Saccharomyces cerevisiae S288C: one gene and its partners. The protein of the gene in region 2 binds, or shares a complex with, the protein of the main gene of each other region. Each region holds a gene or a part of one and is shown on either strand. Other genes may lie near its edges. A codon is read from its position in the direction of its gene.

What was found.
Region 1: the proteins of DNF2 (region 2) and LEM3 are in contact, whole or in part, in a cryo-EM structure (PDB 7KY7), measured with the Saccharomyces cerevisiae proteins. Residues at the interface, in NP_010378.1 of Saccharomyces cerevisiae: Arg302 (codon at 2,769), Tyr619 (codon at 3,720), Lys623 (codon at 3,732), Pro624 (codon at 3,735), Arg625 (codon at 3,738), Ser626 (codon at 3,741), Tyr629 (codon at 3,750), Phe630 (codon at 3,753), Glu631 (codon at 3,756), Phe632 (codon at 3,759), Val649 (codon at 3,810), Phe676 (codon at 3,891), Tyr678 (codon at 3,897), Thr679 (codon at 3,900), Asp680 (codon at 3,903), Val681 (codon at 3,906), Tyr684 (codon at 3,915), Asp689 (codon at 3,930), Pro691 (codon at 3,936), Arg1214 (codon at 5,505), His1219 (codon at 5,520), Trp1222 (codon at 5,529), Arg1226 (codon at 5,541), Tyr1248 (codon at 5,607), Tyr1251 (codon at 5,616), Asn1252 (codon at 5,619), Asn1253 (codon at 5,622), Asp1255 (codon at 5,628), Gly1256 (codon at 5,631), Ser1257 (codon at 5,634); in NP_014076.1 of Saccharomyces cerevisiae: Arg51 (codon at 1,714), Arg52 (codon at 1,717), Pro53 (codon at 1,720), Lys54 (codon at 1,723), Glu55 (codon at 1,726), Phe58 (codon at 1,735), Thr59 (codon at 1,738), Gln60 (codon at 1,741), Gln61 (codon at 1,744), Arg62 (codon at 1,747), Leu63 (codon at 1,750), Ala64 (codon at 1,753), Ala65 (codon at 1,756), Ile66 (codon at 1,759), Asn67 (codon at 1,762), Pro68 (codon at 1,765), Val69 (codon at 1,768), Leu70 (codon at 1,771), Val75 (codon at 1,786), Leu78 (codon at 1,795), Tyr79 (codon at 1,798), Ile82 (codon at 1,807), Phe86 (codon at 1,819), Ile93 (codon at 1,840), Glu102 (codon at 1,867), Tyr174 (codon at 2,083), Asn176 (codon at 2,089), Lys181 (codon at 2,104), Phe182 (codon at 2,107), Ala183 (codon at 2,110).
Region 3: DNF2 (region 2) and YNR048W share a complex: the UniProt entries of both Saccharomyces cerevisiae proteins name them as parts of the flippase complex.

Annotation. Positions count from the first base shown.
Region 1 is NC_001146.8:30,381-33,746, forward strand, and holds LEM3 (Lem3p), read left to right. Parts: upstream 1-1,563; coding exon 1,564-2,808; downstream 2,809-3,366. Other genes in the region: FIG4 (phosphatidylinositol-3,5-bisphosphate 5-phosphatase), read right to left, coding at 1-998; KRE1 (Kre1p), read right to left, coding at 2,914-3,366. UniProt on the Saccharomyces cerevisiae protein: Accessory component of a P4-ATPase flippase complex which catalyzes the hydrolysis of ATP coupled to the transport of glucosylceramide, phosphatidylcholine, phosphatidylethanolamine, and small amounts of phosphatidylserine from the lumenal to the cytosolic leaflet of the cell membrane and ensures the maintenance of asymmetric distribution of phospholipids.
Region 2 is NC_001136.10:629,417-636,665, forward strand, and holds DNF2 (aminophospholipid-translocating P4-type ATPase DNF2), read left to right. Parts: upstream 1-1,865; coding exon 1,866-6,704; downstream 6,705-7,249. Other genes in the region: E2 ubiquitin-conjugating protein UBC13, read left to right, coding at 460-489, 758-1,189. UniProt on the Saccharomyces cerevisiae protein: Catalytic component of a P4-ATPase flippase complex which catalyzes the hydrolysis of ATP coupled to the transport of glucosylceramide, phosphatidylcholine, phosphatidylethanolamine, and small amounts of phosphatidylserine from the lumenal to the cytosolic leaflet of the cell membrane and ensures the maintenance of asymmetric distribution of phospholipids.
Region 3 is NC_001146.8:710,040-713,369, forward strand, and holds YNR048W (putative aminophospholipid translocase regulatory protein), read left to right. Parts: upstream 1-1,590; coding exon 1,591-2,772; downstream 2,773-3,330. Other genes in the region: serine/threonine protein kinase FPK1, read left to right, coding at 1-1,165; MSO1 (Mso1p), read right to left, coding at 2,984-3,330. UniProt on the Saccharomyces cerevisiae protein: Accessory component of a P4-ATPase flippase complex which catalyzes the hydrolysis of ATP coupled to the transport of phosphatidylcholine and small amounts of phosphatidylethanolamine from the lumen to the cytosolic leaflet of the trans-Golgi network and ensures the maintenance of asymmetric distribution of phospholipids.

The DNA of each region.
Region 1 (3,366 bases), on a different chromosome or scaffold from region 2:
TGGGTCCAGTATAAGGGGATTGAGCCACGATGCTGTACAAAAGAAGTGTATCGATCACTATCAAAAAATCCATTTCCCGGTTGATGGAATGGAGTCAAAATCATATCTGTTACAATCTGTTCAGTTTCGACTTCGTTAGCAACATGACCTTTATTGTTAACACCACGCTTTAGAAAGCGTGCACCAGCAAAATGGTGGGATCTTCTTGCGATTAAAGTAATATATATGGACTTACCCAAAACTGAAACATTAACCTGGTCAATAAATCCATGTATAATGCATTGGAACCAATCAAAAACAGTGTCAATACAAGCAAAAATAGGAGATAATAAATTGTTATTCCAAACAAACATTTCGTTATAGTCGGTTATCCCGCAAGGTATTGTAATATCACATCGGTCAACCGCTTTTAATTTCTCTCGCAATATATTGGTTTGTAAAGTATTTGTGATATCGTAGGTATAACTGAAATAAAAGGTTTTTGTTAGGTCTAAATCCTTAAATATATTCAATAGCCTTGCCTCATCTGAACTTTTTTCAGGTTTTTTATAGTTGTTCGTAATAGGAATAATATCAATACCATCAATGTGATAAATACCATGACCGCCAATCACTGCAACTTGGCTATACTTGGTAACCATTATTAAATAGTACCAACAGGTGAATTTAATGAATCCCAGAAGACCGTATCCTGTAATTTTCTTATGTAGACCATCTTCAGTTGCTTCTTCTAAACTTGCTAGTACATTCATGATTTCATTTCTGGTGAAGAAGACATTATCCTCCAACACAGTTAATTCTCCACGGGGTACAGTAAGATCAATTTCTAGAATACGAAACATGGTTTCCCTTTTATTGCTTCCAACAATATACATTCGATCTTTGGTTTCGTATAACGTATATTTACCCATTACAAACTTAGAGGTCTTTCTCTGCTTAGACCCAGATGTGGTAAGTATACCTCCACCAAGGGTATGCTCCATTGCATCATTGTTCATCCTTGTCCTGTTTCTTTTTTGCTTTGCGTTACGTTACTACGTTTCAAAACTAATTAATTTCAAATAATATCACAGCATTTACATTTCAATAGTGCTCGGCTAAGTAGATGAGGACTATCGTAAAGAGACCAATAGAAGAGCTTGAAAACTTTACAAGAAATATATACATGTATATATTATATATATATGTTTAATGCAATTGCAAGAGGTATTAACAAATCAGGAGGACAAGTAAATGAACGTGCTGCAATAAACCCAAATGGCGTAACGAGTGTAGTGCGCCTTAGTGACCACCGCAAGATAGTGCCAGTAACTAGTGTACAAGTGTGGCAAAATGCAAATGAGCGTTCTGGTAGTATGTGTCCAATGTTGTAGTGTCAACTTTGTCTGCCGTTCTGGTGGCTTTTGACAGTTGATTTTCCAACGATTATTATTATGCGCGAAATTAAAGAAAAGGAATCTTGTATGATGATAAAATAAATAGATCAAATTAAATCATCAGTACAGACCAGAAAACAATTAAGTGTCCTTTTAGAAATACGAGAGGGTGGTAAAATATTGAAGAATGGTAAATTTCGATTTGGGCCAAGTTGGTGAAGTATTCCGTAGAAAGGACAAAGGAGCTATAGTGTCCGGAGACAACCCAGAAGAAGAAGAAGACGTCGATGCTTCTGAGTTTGAAGAGGATGAAGTAAAGCCTGTGCGTACAAAGAACAGAAGACCCAAAGAGGATGCATTCACTCAACAAAGATTAGCGGCTATAAACCCGGTGTTAACGCCGAGGACAGTTTTGCCTCTTTATCTGTTAATTGCTGTTGTATTTGTTATTGTAGGAGGGTGCATATTAGCACAGAACTCCAAAGTGGATGAAGTAACCATATATTACCAGGACTGTATGACTAACGCAACCTCATCATGGAGCGACATCCCTTCTGAACATTGGCAATTTGTATTTCACAAATATAAAACATATAATACTGCACCACAATGGAGGTTTGTGGATGATGAATCAGATGACTTCACAAAACAAAGAGGTACATGCCAAATCAGGTTCACTACTCCAAGTGATATGAAAAATAACGTATATTTGAATTATGTGCTGGAAAAATTTGCTGCCAATCACAGAAGATATGTACTATCTTTTAGCGAAGATCAGATACGTGGGGAGGACGCCTCTTATGAGACGGTGCATGATGCAACCGGTATAAATTGTAAGCCACTATCTAAGAACGCCGATGGTAAAATATACTATCCATGTGGCCTAATTGCGAACTCAATGTTCAACGACACGTTCCCCCTGCAGTTAACAAATGTAGGGGATACGTCTAACAACTATTCATTGACAAATAAAGGAATCAATTGGGAATCTGATAAAAAAAGGTACAAAAAAACCAAATACAATTATACACAGATAGCACCTCCACCATATTGGGAAAAGATGTATCCAGATGGATACAACGAGACGAATATTCCTGATATTCAGGATTGGGAAGAGTTCCAAAACTGGATGAGGCCAGGTGCTTTTGATAAAATTACAAAACTGATCAGAATCAATAAAAACGATACTTTGCCAGCGGGTGAATACCAGTTGGATATCGGTCTGCATTGGCCAGTATTGGAGTTTAATGGTAAGAAGGGAATCTACTTGACTCACGGTTCTCACCTTGGCGGTAGAAATCCATTTTTAGGTATAGTTTACCTGATTGGAGGCTGTATTTGTGCTGCCATGGCATTGATATTATTAACGTTTTGGCTCTTCGGCGGTAGAAAGATTGCTGATGCATCAAGTTTGTCATGGAATATGAAATAGAAAAGGAGTGATGGTTTTCTTTATTTTTAACCCTGTAAAATTTTTTTATTTTTTTATTTTTACTCTTATATATGTATATGTTTGTGTTTATTTCTGAATAAAAATTTATAAGAACCAAATTAAAACCGTTAATAGCCCACCCAAAATTGAAGTAAACGAACTCATACCTAGATGCTGGGCCTCATTATGCGAAACTGTTTTCTTTATTGCAGATTTAATAACGCCTACAGTACCGGTTAAAGTACCCATCCCAATAGACCCCACGGAGGGAGAAGCGACTGTTACGTACTGGGAGGAGAAACGCTGGACAAAAGTAGTTTGCACAGTGATAGTGTTGCCCTGTCTAACAACAGTGACCCACATGGACGTTGGCGCACGTGTGGTTGTGTAAGTGGAGGTTGTACCTTCAGTGATGGTAATGTATGAGTCAATAGATAGACTAGTGACAGCAGACACAGGAGGTTCTGTGAAGTCTGTGGAGGGGTCTGGCCTGGTGCCTGTTTCAGCTACTGCGCTCCCTGTCGATGTGGTCGTCTTTACACTGGAGGATGAACCAGA
Region 2 (7,249 bases):
GCTAAAAAAGCTTTTCGATGTCTAGAAATACTACCAACAAATACTTGAATGCAGAACAAGAAGGAAAAAAGCTTGATACTAGTCAAGCTTAATGATTAGATTCTGCGGGAGCCGCGGGAACAGAAAATACTAACGTTTTAAATATCATTTAAAAAATTACCAAAGTACAATAAGCAGTTTTTTCTTTGCCTTCTCTACATGTGAACAAATATAATGGGCATCTAACAGGAATTTGTTTTCCTTTAAACCATCAAAGAGAATAGTTCAGTTAATTATGCCGCATCCGTATTGTTACCCGAAATTATGGTGTTTTTAAAACAAAGGATAAGTGATTCATTGAAAGATGGCGCGCCACCACGAACCAAAACACCTCTATAGAGAATAGTACTTTACACTCTTCTGTTCTTTTTTTTTCCAATATTAGCAAATAAGGTCAGGTTCATTGTAACATAGTTAGAAATGGCATCATTACCCAAGAGAATAATCAAGGTATGTTCAAACAAGAGCAGTGGATTATATACGAAATCTGAAGTGACGTTTTCGTCTGAGCCGTCACACTCTACACTGTTTCCTCTTGATAATGGCTAGAACTTACATACTAACGCAAAACTTCCAAAACAAGAAGGCTTTTTTTGTCCAGTTTGTAGCAGCGTTCCGCCTTCCCTTTGTCCATATCCGCAAACGCTCATATGGAGGGAATTCAACAGAACAAACTACTAGGGCAGAAAACGCAAAGTCTTTGTGAACTTTCATATAGGAAACTGAGAAATTAGTAAGTGACCCAGTACCTGGCATTACAGCAGAACCACATGACGACAACTTACGTTACTTCCAAGTAACAATCGAAGGCCCAGAACAGTCACCATATGAAGACGGTATTTTCGAATTAGAATTATATCTGCCTGACGACTATCCAATGGAAGCACCGAAAGTACGTTTTTTAACCAAGATATATCATCCCAATATTGATAGGTTGGGCCGTATATGTCTTGATGTGCTTAAAACTAATTGGTCACCCGCTTTACAGATCAGAACCGTCCTGCTGTCCATTCAAGCACTGTTGGCTAGCCCTAATCCTAATGATCCGCTAGCTAATGACGTCGCTGAAGATTGGATAAAGAATGAGCAAGGTGCCAAAGCTAAGGCTCGCGAATGGACGAAATTGTATGCAAAGAAGAAACCCGAGTGATCATTTCTGTATAAGTTTTCTCAACTGAATATATAAATATATATCATTACTATGCTGCTGCTGCTGCAAAAAAAAAAAAATTTACGATAAATGCAAAAACCATAGATGGTCATCTAAAGAGGCGCATTTCTCAAAAATGTAGCGTCGCTAAAATGGTTTTCTCTACCTTTAGTTTTACGCCAGATTTTTACTAGACGCGTTTTAGTTTACTTTTTCCTACCCTGTTCGTTTTTTTTTTTTTTTTCGCACCAAATTTTTCAACCGTTCCATGGAAGCCGGGATCGACCGTCCTACACTAATGTAAGCATTAGTCCGCTCGAGGGTCCACGTTTAATTCCGGATCATAAAGTTTTTAATGTATTTCTTGTTATTATCGCTTTTGTTGATCTTACCTGCTATTGCATAGAGACAGACAATAGACAAACCAGATTCATCGCTTACTCGGTGGTTTACCTCTTAGTATTACTTTCGCTGCTTCTTTCTGCTGTGACAGAGTCTCAGGTGAAACAAATTAATCAAAAGAGTTGATTAAACGCAAGAGCGTTGAGAGAGTTTAAAAAACCATCCGTTTCTTTTTCTATTTGCTTTCACATTGTTCGTACTTTGTTCCTTTTTTCCTAATCCTTTTAATAATAGAATTCTTTAAAAAGAATCATAGCATAAACTCAACACATATATGTCAAGTCCCTCCAAACCCACTTCTCCCTTCGTGGATGATATTGAGCATGAATCGGGATCAGCATCTAATGGTCTGTCGTCCATGTCACCATTTGACGATAGTTTTCAATTTGAAAAACCCAGTAGTGCGCATGGAAATATTGAAGTAGCGAAAACCGGCGGTTCTGTTTTGAAGCGACAATCTAAGCCAATGAAAGATATTAGCACACCCGATCTCTCAAAAGTTACTTTTGATGGAATCGATGATTATAGTAACGATAATGATATTAATGATGATGATGAACTCAATGGTAAAAAAACCGAGATACATGAACACGAAAATGAGGTGGATGATGACCTCCATTCGTTCCAGGCAACACCTATGCCTAATACTGGAGGCTTTGAGGATGTTGAGTTGGATAACAATGAAGGTAGCAACAATGATTCCCAGGCAGATCATAAGTTGAAAAGAGTACGTTTTGGTACAAGAAGAAATAAGTCAGGTAGGATAGATATAAATAGGTCAAAAACATTGAAATGGGCCAAGAAGAACTTCCACAATGCTATTGATGAATTCAGTACAAAAGAAGACAGTCTCGAAAATTCAGCCTTGCAAAATAGGTCTGATGAGTTGAGAACAGTTTACTATAATTTACCCTTGCCGGAGGACATGCTTGACGAGGACGGCTTACCGTTGGCAGTTTACCCGCGTAATAAAATCAGGACTACGAAGTATACTCCATTAACATTTTTTCCCAAGAACATTCTTTTCCAATTTCATAATTTTGCCAATATTTACTTTTTAATACTGTTGATTCTAGGTGCTTTTCAAATATTTGGTGTGACAAATCCAGGTTTTGCATCCGTTCCCCTAATTGTCATCGTAATTATCACTGCTATTAAGGATGGTATCGAAGATTCCAGAAGGACTGTATTGGATTTAGAAGTTAATAATACAAGAACACATATCTTAAGCGGGGTGAAGAATGAAAATGTTGCTGTTGATAACGTTTCCTTATGGAGGCGTTTCAAGAAAGCGAATACAAGGGCATTGATTAAAATTTTTGAGTATTTTTCAGAAAACCTCACTGCTGCTGGTAGAGAAAAGAAGTTACAGAAAAAAAGGGAAGAATTACGAAGGAAGAGGAACTCGAGAAGCTTTGGGCCACGTGGGTCTCTGGATTCAATTGGTAGTTACAGAATGTCTGCCGACTTTGGTCGTCCCTCTTTGGATTATGAGAACCTGAATCAAACAATGTCACAGGCTAACAGGTATAACGATGGTGAAAATTTAGTTGATCGAACGCTACAGCCAAACCCTGAATGTAGGTTTGCCAAGGATTACTGGAAAAATGTTAAAGTTGGTGATATTGTTCGTGTTCACAATAACGATGAAATTCCTGCTGATATGATCTTATTATCGACATCAGATGTTGATGGCGCTTGTTATGTGGAAACCAAAAATTTGGATGGTGAAACAAATCTAAAGGTCCGTCAATCATTAAAATGTAGCAAGATTATTAAGAGTTCAAGGGATATTACCAGGACGAAGTTTTGGGTTGAAAGTGAAGGCCCACATGCCAACTTGTATTCTTATCAAGGTAATTTCAAATGGCAAGATACACAAAATGGAAACATCAGAAATGAGCCTGTAAATATCAATAACTTATTATTGAGAGGTTGTACCTTGAGAAACACTAAGTGGGCCATGGGTATGGTTATTTTTACTGGTGACGATACCAAGATTATGATAAACGCTGGTGTCACTCCAACCAAAAAATCCAGAATTTCAAGAGAGTTGAATTTTTCTGTGATTTTGAATTTTGTACTATTGTTTATCCTATGTTTCACTGCTGGTATTGTTAACGGTGTTTATTATAAACAGAAACCTCGATCGAGAGATTATTTTGAATTTGGTACCATTGGAGGTTCTGCCTCAACTAACGGTTTTGTTTCTTTTTGGGTGGCGGTTATTCTTTATCAGTCATTGGTTCCGATCTCTTTATATATTTCTGTGGAAATTATTAAGACAGCACAGGCTATTTTCATTTACACTGATGTTTTGTTGTATAATGCCAAGCTAGACTATCCATGTACACCAAAGTCGTGGAACATCTCCGATGATTTGGGTCAAATTGAGTATATTTTTTCAGATAAAACAGGCACCTTGACACAAAATGTGATGGAATTCAAAAAATGTACTATTAACGGTGTGTCTTATGGACGTGCCTATACGGAGGCACTAGCAGGCCTGAGGAAGAGACAAGGTGTTGATGTCGAATCGGAAGGTCGTCGCGAAAAGGAAGAGATAGCAAAAGATAGGGAAACAATGATCGACGAATTAAGATCAATGAGTGATAATACACAGTTTTGTCCGGAGGATTTAACTTTTGTATCTAAGGAAATTGTGGAAGACTTGAAAGGATCCAGTGGCGACCATCAACAAAAGTGCTGTGAACACTTTTTGCTGGCGCTCGCATTATGTCATTCTGTCCTTGTGGAGCCAAATAAAGATGATCCTAAAAAACTGGACATCAAGGCTCAATCACCTGATGAGTCTGCCTTAGTTTCCACCGCCAGACAATTAGGGTACAGTTTCGTTGGTAGTTCAAAAAGTGGATTGATAGTAGAGATCCAGGGTGTTCAAAAGGAGTTCCAAGTTCTGAACGTACTTGAATTCAATTCGTCGAGAAAAAGGATGAGTTGCATTATCAAGATCCCTGGCTCTACACCAAAGGATGAACCTAAAGCACTGTTAATATGTAAAGGTGCGGATTCCGTTATCTATTCAAGATTAGATCGCACTCAAAACGACGCTACTTTGTTGGAAAAGACGGCCCTCCATTTGGAAGAATATGCCACAGAAGGTTTAAGAACATTATGTTTGGCTCAAAGAGAGCTCACGTGGTCCGAGTATGAACGTTGGGTTAAGACTTATGATGTGGCCGCTGCATCCGTTACTAATAGGGAGGAAGAGTTGGACAAAGTTACTGACGTTATTGAACGTGAGCTTATTTTGCTTGGTGGTACGGCCATTGAGGATCGTTTACAAGATGGTGTTCCTGATTCGATTGCCCTCTTGGCCGAGGCCGGTATTAAGTTATGGGTCCTAACGGGTGATAAAGTGGAAACTGCCATTAACATTGGTTTTTCCTGCAATGTTTTGAACAATGATATGGAATTATTGGTTGTGAAGGCTTCCGGCGAAGATGTAGAAGAATTTGGTAGTGACCCTATTCAAGTGGTTAACAATTTGGTGACAAAATACTTAAGGGAAAAATTTGGCATGAGTGGATCCGAGGAGGAGTTAAAAGAAGCTAAAAGAGAGCATGGTTTGCCACAGGGAAATTTTGCTGTCATTATCGATGGCGATGCGCTAAAAGTTGCTTTGAATGGTGAAGAAATGAGACGCAAGTTCTTGCTACTGTGTAAGAATTGTAAAGCTGTTTTGTGTTGCAGAGTTTCTCCAGCACAAAAGGCTGCAGTGGTCAAGTTGGTAAAAAAGACCTTAGACGTTATGACCTTGGCCATTGGTGATGGTTCGAATGATGTAGCCATGATTCAATCGGCGGACGTTGGTGTTGGTATCGCGGGTGAAGAAGGCAGACAAGCTGTCATGTGTTCTGATTATGCCATCGGGCAGTTCAGATATGTGACAAGACTGGTATTGGTGCATGGTAAATGGTGTTATAAGAGACTGGCAGAGATGATCCCACAGTTTTTCTACAAGAACGTTATTTTTACGCTATCCCTGTTCTGGTATGGTATTTACAATAATTTCGATGGGTCGTATTTGTTTGAGTATACGTACTTGACATTCTACAATCTTGCATTCACATCCGTACCTGTTATTTTACTAGCAGTACTCGACCAAGATGTTTCCGACACCGTTTCGATGCTGGTGCCACAGTTGTACCGTGTGGGTATCCTAAGAAAAGAATGGAACCAAACCAAATTTCTTTGGTACATGTTGGATGGTGTATACCAATCTGTGATATGCTTCTTTTTCCCCTATTTGGCGTACCATAAAAACATGGTTGTAACTGAAAATGGCCTTGGACTAGACCACCGTTACTTTGTCGGTGTCTTCGTTACAGCAATTGCAGTCACTTCATGTAACTTTTACGTCTTCATGGAACAGTATAGATGGGACTGGTTCTGTGGCCTATTCATATGTCTATCACTGGCCGTGTTTTACGGCTGGACGGGTATATGGACAAGCTCGTCGTCAAGTAACGAATTTTACAAGGGTGCGGCGCGTGTATTCGCACAACCTGCCTATTGGGCAGTACTTTTCGTTGGCGTGCTGTTCTGCCTACTGCCAAGATTCACCATTGACTGTATCAGAAAGATATTCTATCCGAAAGATATAGAGATCGTTAGAGAAATGTGGTTACGCGGTGATTTTGACCTCTACCCACAAGGCTACGACCCTACGGACCCTAGCAGGCCCAGAATAAACGAAATACGTCCCCTTACAGATTTCAAAGAGCCCATTTCACTGGACACTCATTTTGATGGTGTCAGCCACTCACAAGAGACCATAGTCACAGAGGAAATACCAATGAGTATACTCAATGGTGAGCAAGGCTCGCGCAAGGGGTACCGTGTCTCTACCACTCTGGAACGCCGTGACCAGCTCAGCCCCGTTACAACAACGAACAACTTGCCTAGAAGATCAATGGCCAGTGCCCGCGGAAATAAGCTCAGAACTTCGCTGGATCGCACAAGAGAAGAGATGCTTGCCAACCACCAACTGGACACAAGATACTCCGTGGAAAGAGCACGTGCCTCGCTGGATCTGCCGGGTATCAATCATGCAGAGACGCTGCTCAGCCAGCGCAGCAGGGACCGTTAATGATTACAATTTTTTTCTTCCTTTGTACTATGTATACCAATGTGATATGATATAGATTTCATATAGGATGTGATGATGTGTATCACCCGGCACGGCTCTACCCCGCCCTGTGGGGTGTGGAGAAAACGCCGCGCAGAGCCTTGAGTAGGAAGGGGCTGGGTTCTCCCCTTCCTGCCGGGGTCCGCCCGGCGCCAAGAGTAAGAGAGCGAAGCCGGAGACGTAATATGAAAAAAATTTTGAGGGGAAAGGGCGTCCGCAAGGGCAAGGGCAAGGGGAAGGGGTGGCGTTTTGTGCTTCAAGGAATTATATTTCGTTGTTTTCCGCACTATGGCGGCATTGTGGCAAGTAACTACTTTACGGAGAAAGACTAGAAAATGGTTACAACTGCCACTATTACCGCTTCGCATTCTCTTGTCTTACAGGTCCCTTGAATTGGCATTTACGTTTACATCCGATCCGGTTTTTCACCAAAGAGAAAGGAAAGGAAAGGTAAAAATAGCAAACCGAAAAAGAAAACAGTATTTTCTCTCTGTTTAGGATTATTA
Region 3 (3,330 bases), on a different chromosome or scaffold from region 2:
TGTAGGTAAAGTTTTCTTAGTAAGAGAGAAAAAGACGAATAGAGTGTATGCTTTGAAAGTCTTGAGTAAAGACGAAATGATAAAAAGAAATAAAATCAAACGTGTTCTGACAGAACAAGAGATTCTTGCCACCAGCAATCATCCCTTCATCGTCACACTATACCATTCGTTCCAATCTGAAGACTATTTGTATCTCTGTATGGAATACTGTATGGGCGGGGAGTTTTTCAGAGCTTTACAAACAAGGAAAACCAAATGTATATGTGAAGACGATGCCAGGTTTTATGCCAGTGAAGTGACAGCAGCACTAGAATATTTACATCTGTTGGGTTTTATCTATAGAGATTTAAAACCAGAGAATATTTTGCTGCATCAATCAGGCCATATCATGCTTTCTGACTTCGACTTGTCTATTCAGGCTAAAGATTCCAAGGTTCCTGTTGTCAAGGGTTCCGCTCAATCAACCCTTGTTGATACCAAAATATGCTCAGATGGGTTTAGAACCAATTCCTTTGTCGGAACTGAAGAATATATTGCCCCTGAAGTCATAAGAGGTAATGGCCACACCGCTGCGGTCGATTGGTGGACGCTAGGGATTTTGATCTATGAAATGTTATTTGGTTTCACTCCATTCAAAGGCGATAACACAAATGAAACTTTTACGAATATTTTGAAAAATGAGGTCAGTTTTCCCAATAACAATGAAATCTCCAGAACTTGTAAGGATTTGATCAAAAAATTACTGACAAAAAATGAATCTAAAAGACTGGGTTGCAAAATGGGCGCTGCCGACGTGAAGAAACACCCCTTTTTCAAGAAAGTCCAATGGTCTTTGCTGAGAAATCAAGAACCGCCTCTGATACCAGTGTTATCTGAGGATGGATATGATTTTGCTAAATTATCATCTAATAAGAAGAGACAGACTAGTCAAGACAGCCATAAACATCTCGATGAGCAAGAGAAAAATATGTTTGAAGAACGAGTTGAATACGACGATGAAGTCTCTGAAGATGATCCATTCCATGACTTCAATTCAATGAGTTTGATGGAACAGGATAACAATTCAATGATTTATGGTAATACCAATTCTTATGGGAAAATTGCATACACTCCAAACTCCAACAGATCGAGGAGTAATAGTCATCGAACCTTTTTTAAGAGATAAAGGGGGCTTTGACGTATAAGTGTCGGTATTTTTTTTTTTTTTATTGATTTTTTTTTCACTCTTATTTTTTCCCTCATTTATTCATCATACATTTAACGAACTCTATTTCTTTTCAAAATCCTTATCTACCTATTTTTTTTTCTTTATTTTCTTTCCTCTGTCAGTTAGTCAGTAGTGTGTAACTTAAATAAATCATATATCGGTGTTTCAATTTCTAGCATTCTGTGTAAACATCAGATGAAGCATTGCCTTTCTTTTCAATGAACTCTATGTAGTTTTTTCGATTTGCTTGCGTACTATTTTTCACGCGATAGTTGAAGAAACGATAGAAGGATGGCGCAATATACAAGTTAAAAGCAAATAGATATCTAATCAATAGTTAACATCTAGAATAAAGTGCTGGAACTTAGATTTTTTTGTGCAATATGGGACTGATATTAAGGTGGAAAGAGAAAAAACAGTTGTCTAGTAAGCAAAATGCTCAAAAATCCAGGAAACCGGCAAACACATCGTTTAGACAACAGCGCCTCAAAGCCTGGCAGCCCATCTTGTCGCCACAGAGCGTACTGCCGTTGCTTATTTTGATGGCATGCGTCTTCGCACCCATTGGTATAGGGCTGGTGGTCAGCACGATAAGTGTCCAAAGACTAGTGGTAAACTACACAGAATGTGATGCATTGGCACCGGCGAAGCATTTTGAAACGATTCCCTCCGAGTACGTGGACTACCACTTCAGTAAGAAAGTCGCAGTCCAACCTCAATGGATGGTACTTACGGATCCTGAATTAGGCAATCAAACTTGTCGAATACAGTTCGAAGTTCCAAATCATATCAAGAAATCTACTTATGTTTATTACCGCCTAACAAATTTCAATCAAAACTATAGAGAATATGTGCAATCTCTTGACCTAGACCAATTAAAAGGAAAAGCATTGATCGGAAATGATCTGGATCCAAACTGTGACCCTTTAAGGACGGTAGAAAATAAGACCATATTCCCCTGTGGATTGATAGCAAATTCGATGTTCAATGATACATTCGGCACAACACTTACTGGTGTAAACGATACTGCAGATTATTTGCTTACCACAAAAGGTATTGCGTGGGACACCGACAGCCACAGATATGGAAAGACCGAATACAATGCATCCGATATCGTACCGCCCCCAAATTGGGCCAAGTTATTTCCCAATGGCTACACTGACGATAACATTCCAGACCTACAAAACTGGGAACAGTTCAAAATATGGATGAGAACTGCTGCATTGCCCAACTTCTATAAGCTAGCAATGAAAAATGAGACCAATGGGTTAGGTAAGGGTATTTACATTGCTGATATAGAACTCAACTACCCAGTAAGATCTTTCTATGGAACAAAATCTTTTGTATTAACCACAAACAGTATTATCGGTGCTGGAAACGAGGCATTAGGGATTGTTTATTTGATTGTTGCCGGGATTGCAACTCTTTTCGCCATACTATTCCTGATAAAAGTCATCTTCAAACCAAGACCTATGCATGATCATAGCTACCTAAATTTTGAGAACAGCGATACCCCATTCGATGAGAGTAGTGTCGTTAGTATTCCATTGAGAGAAATTTTATGATTGATTATCATTTACTATAAAATCCCTGCGTTTGATTCGGTCTCTAGGGAAGCGTTGTAATTTCATGTATATTCAAAATAAGGACGAGGTTATATACCATACTATATTATCTCCTTGCATTCTGTATCAAACACTTTATTCAGTACATATACGATACCTATATATTCATTAAATGTTCTTTTCGCTTTATTTCAGCAAGGTATAGTGCTATTTAAAATCCATAATCGTTATTGCGTCTCTTTAGTCTGTCCTTCATTGCCATTACTCCACTACTTGCGTCTGGTGGCGGCGTTGGCGTGCTGGAGGTGTTGAAACTGTTCGACGTTTTACTTCGACCGAGACTTGCCCTGAATTCTTGGCCTGCTGAAGGTCTAGTCGGCCGTGATGAAGCTCTTCTCGGTGTCGCGCTAGAGGAGCTTGTATGATTATTGTATATATCTTGAAACGATTTACTCGCAGGCGTGTACTCCGGTGTGTTCCCGTTTGAAGAAGGTGTACCCATAGGATCTTCTGAAGAAGCCTTCCTTCTGTTAGAAAAGGATGGCGAGAAATGACGCG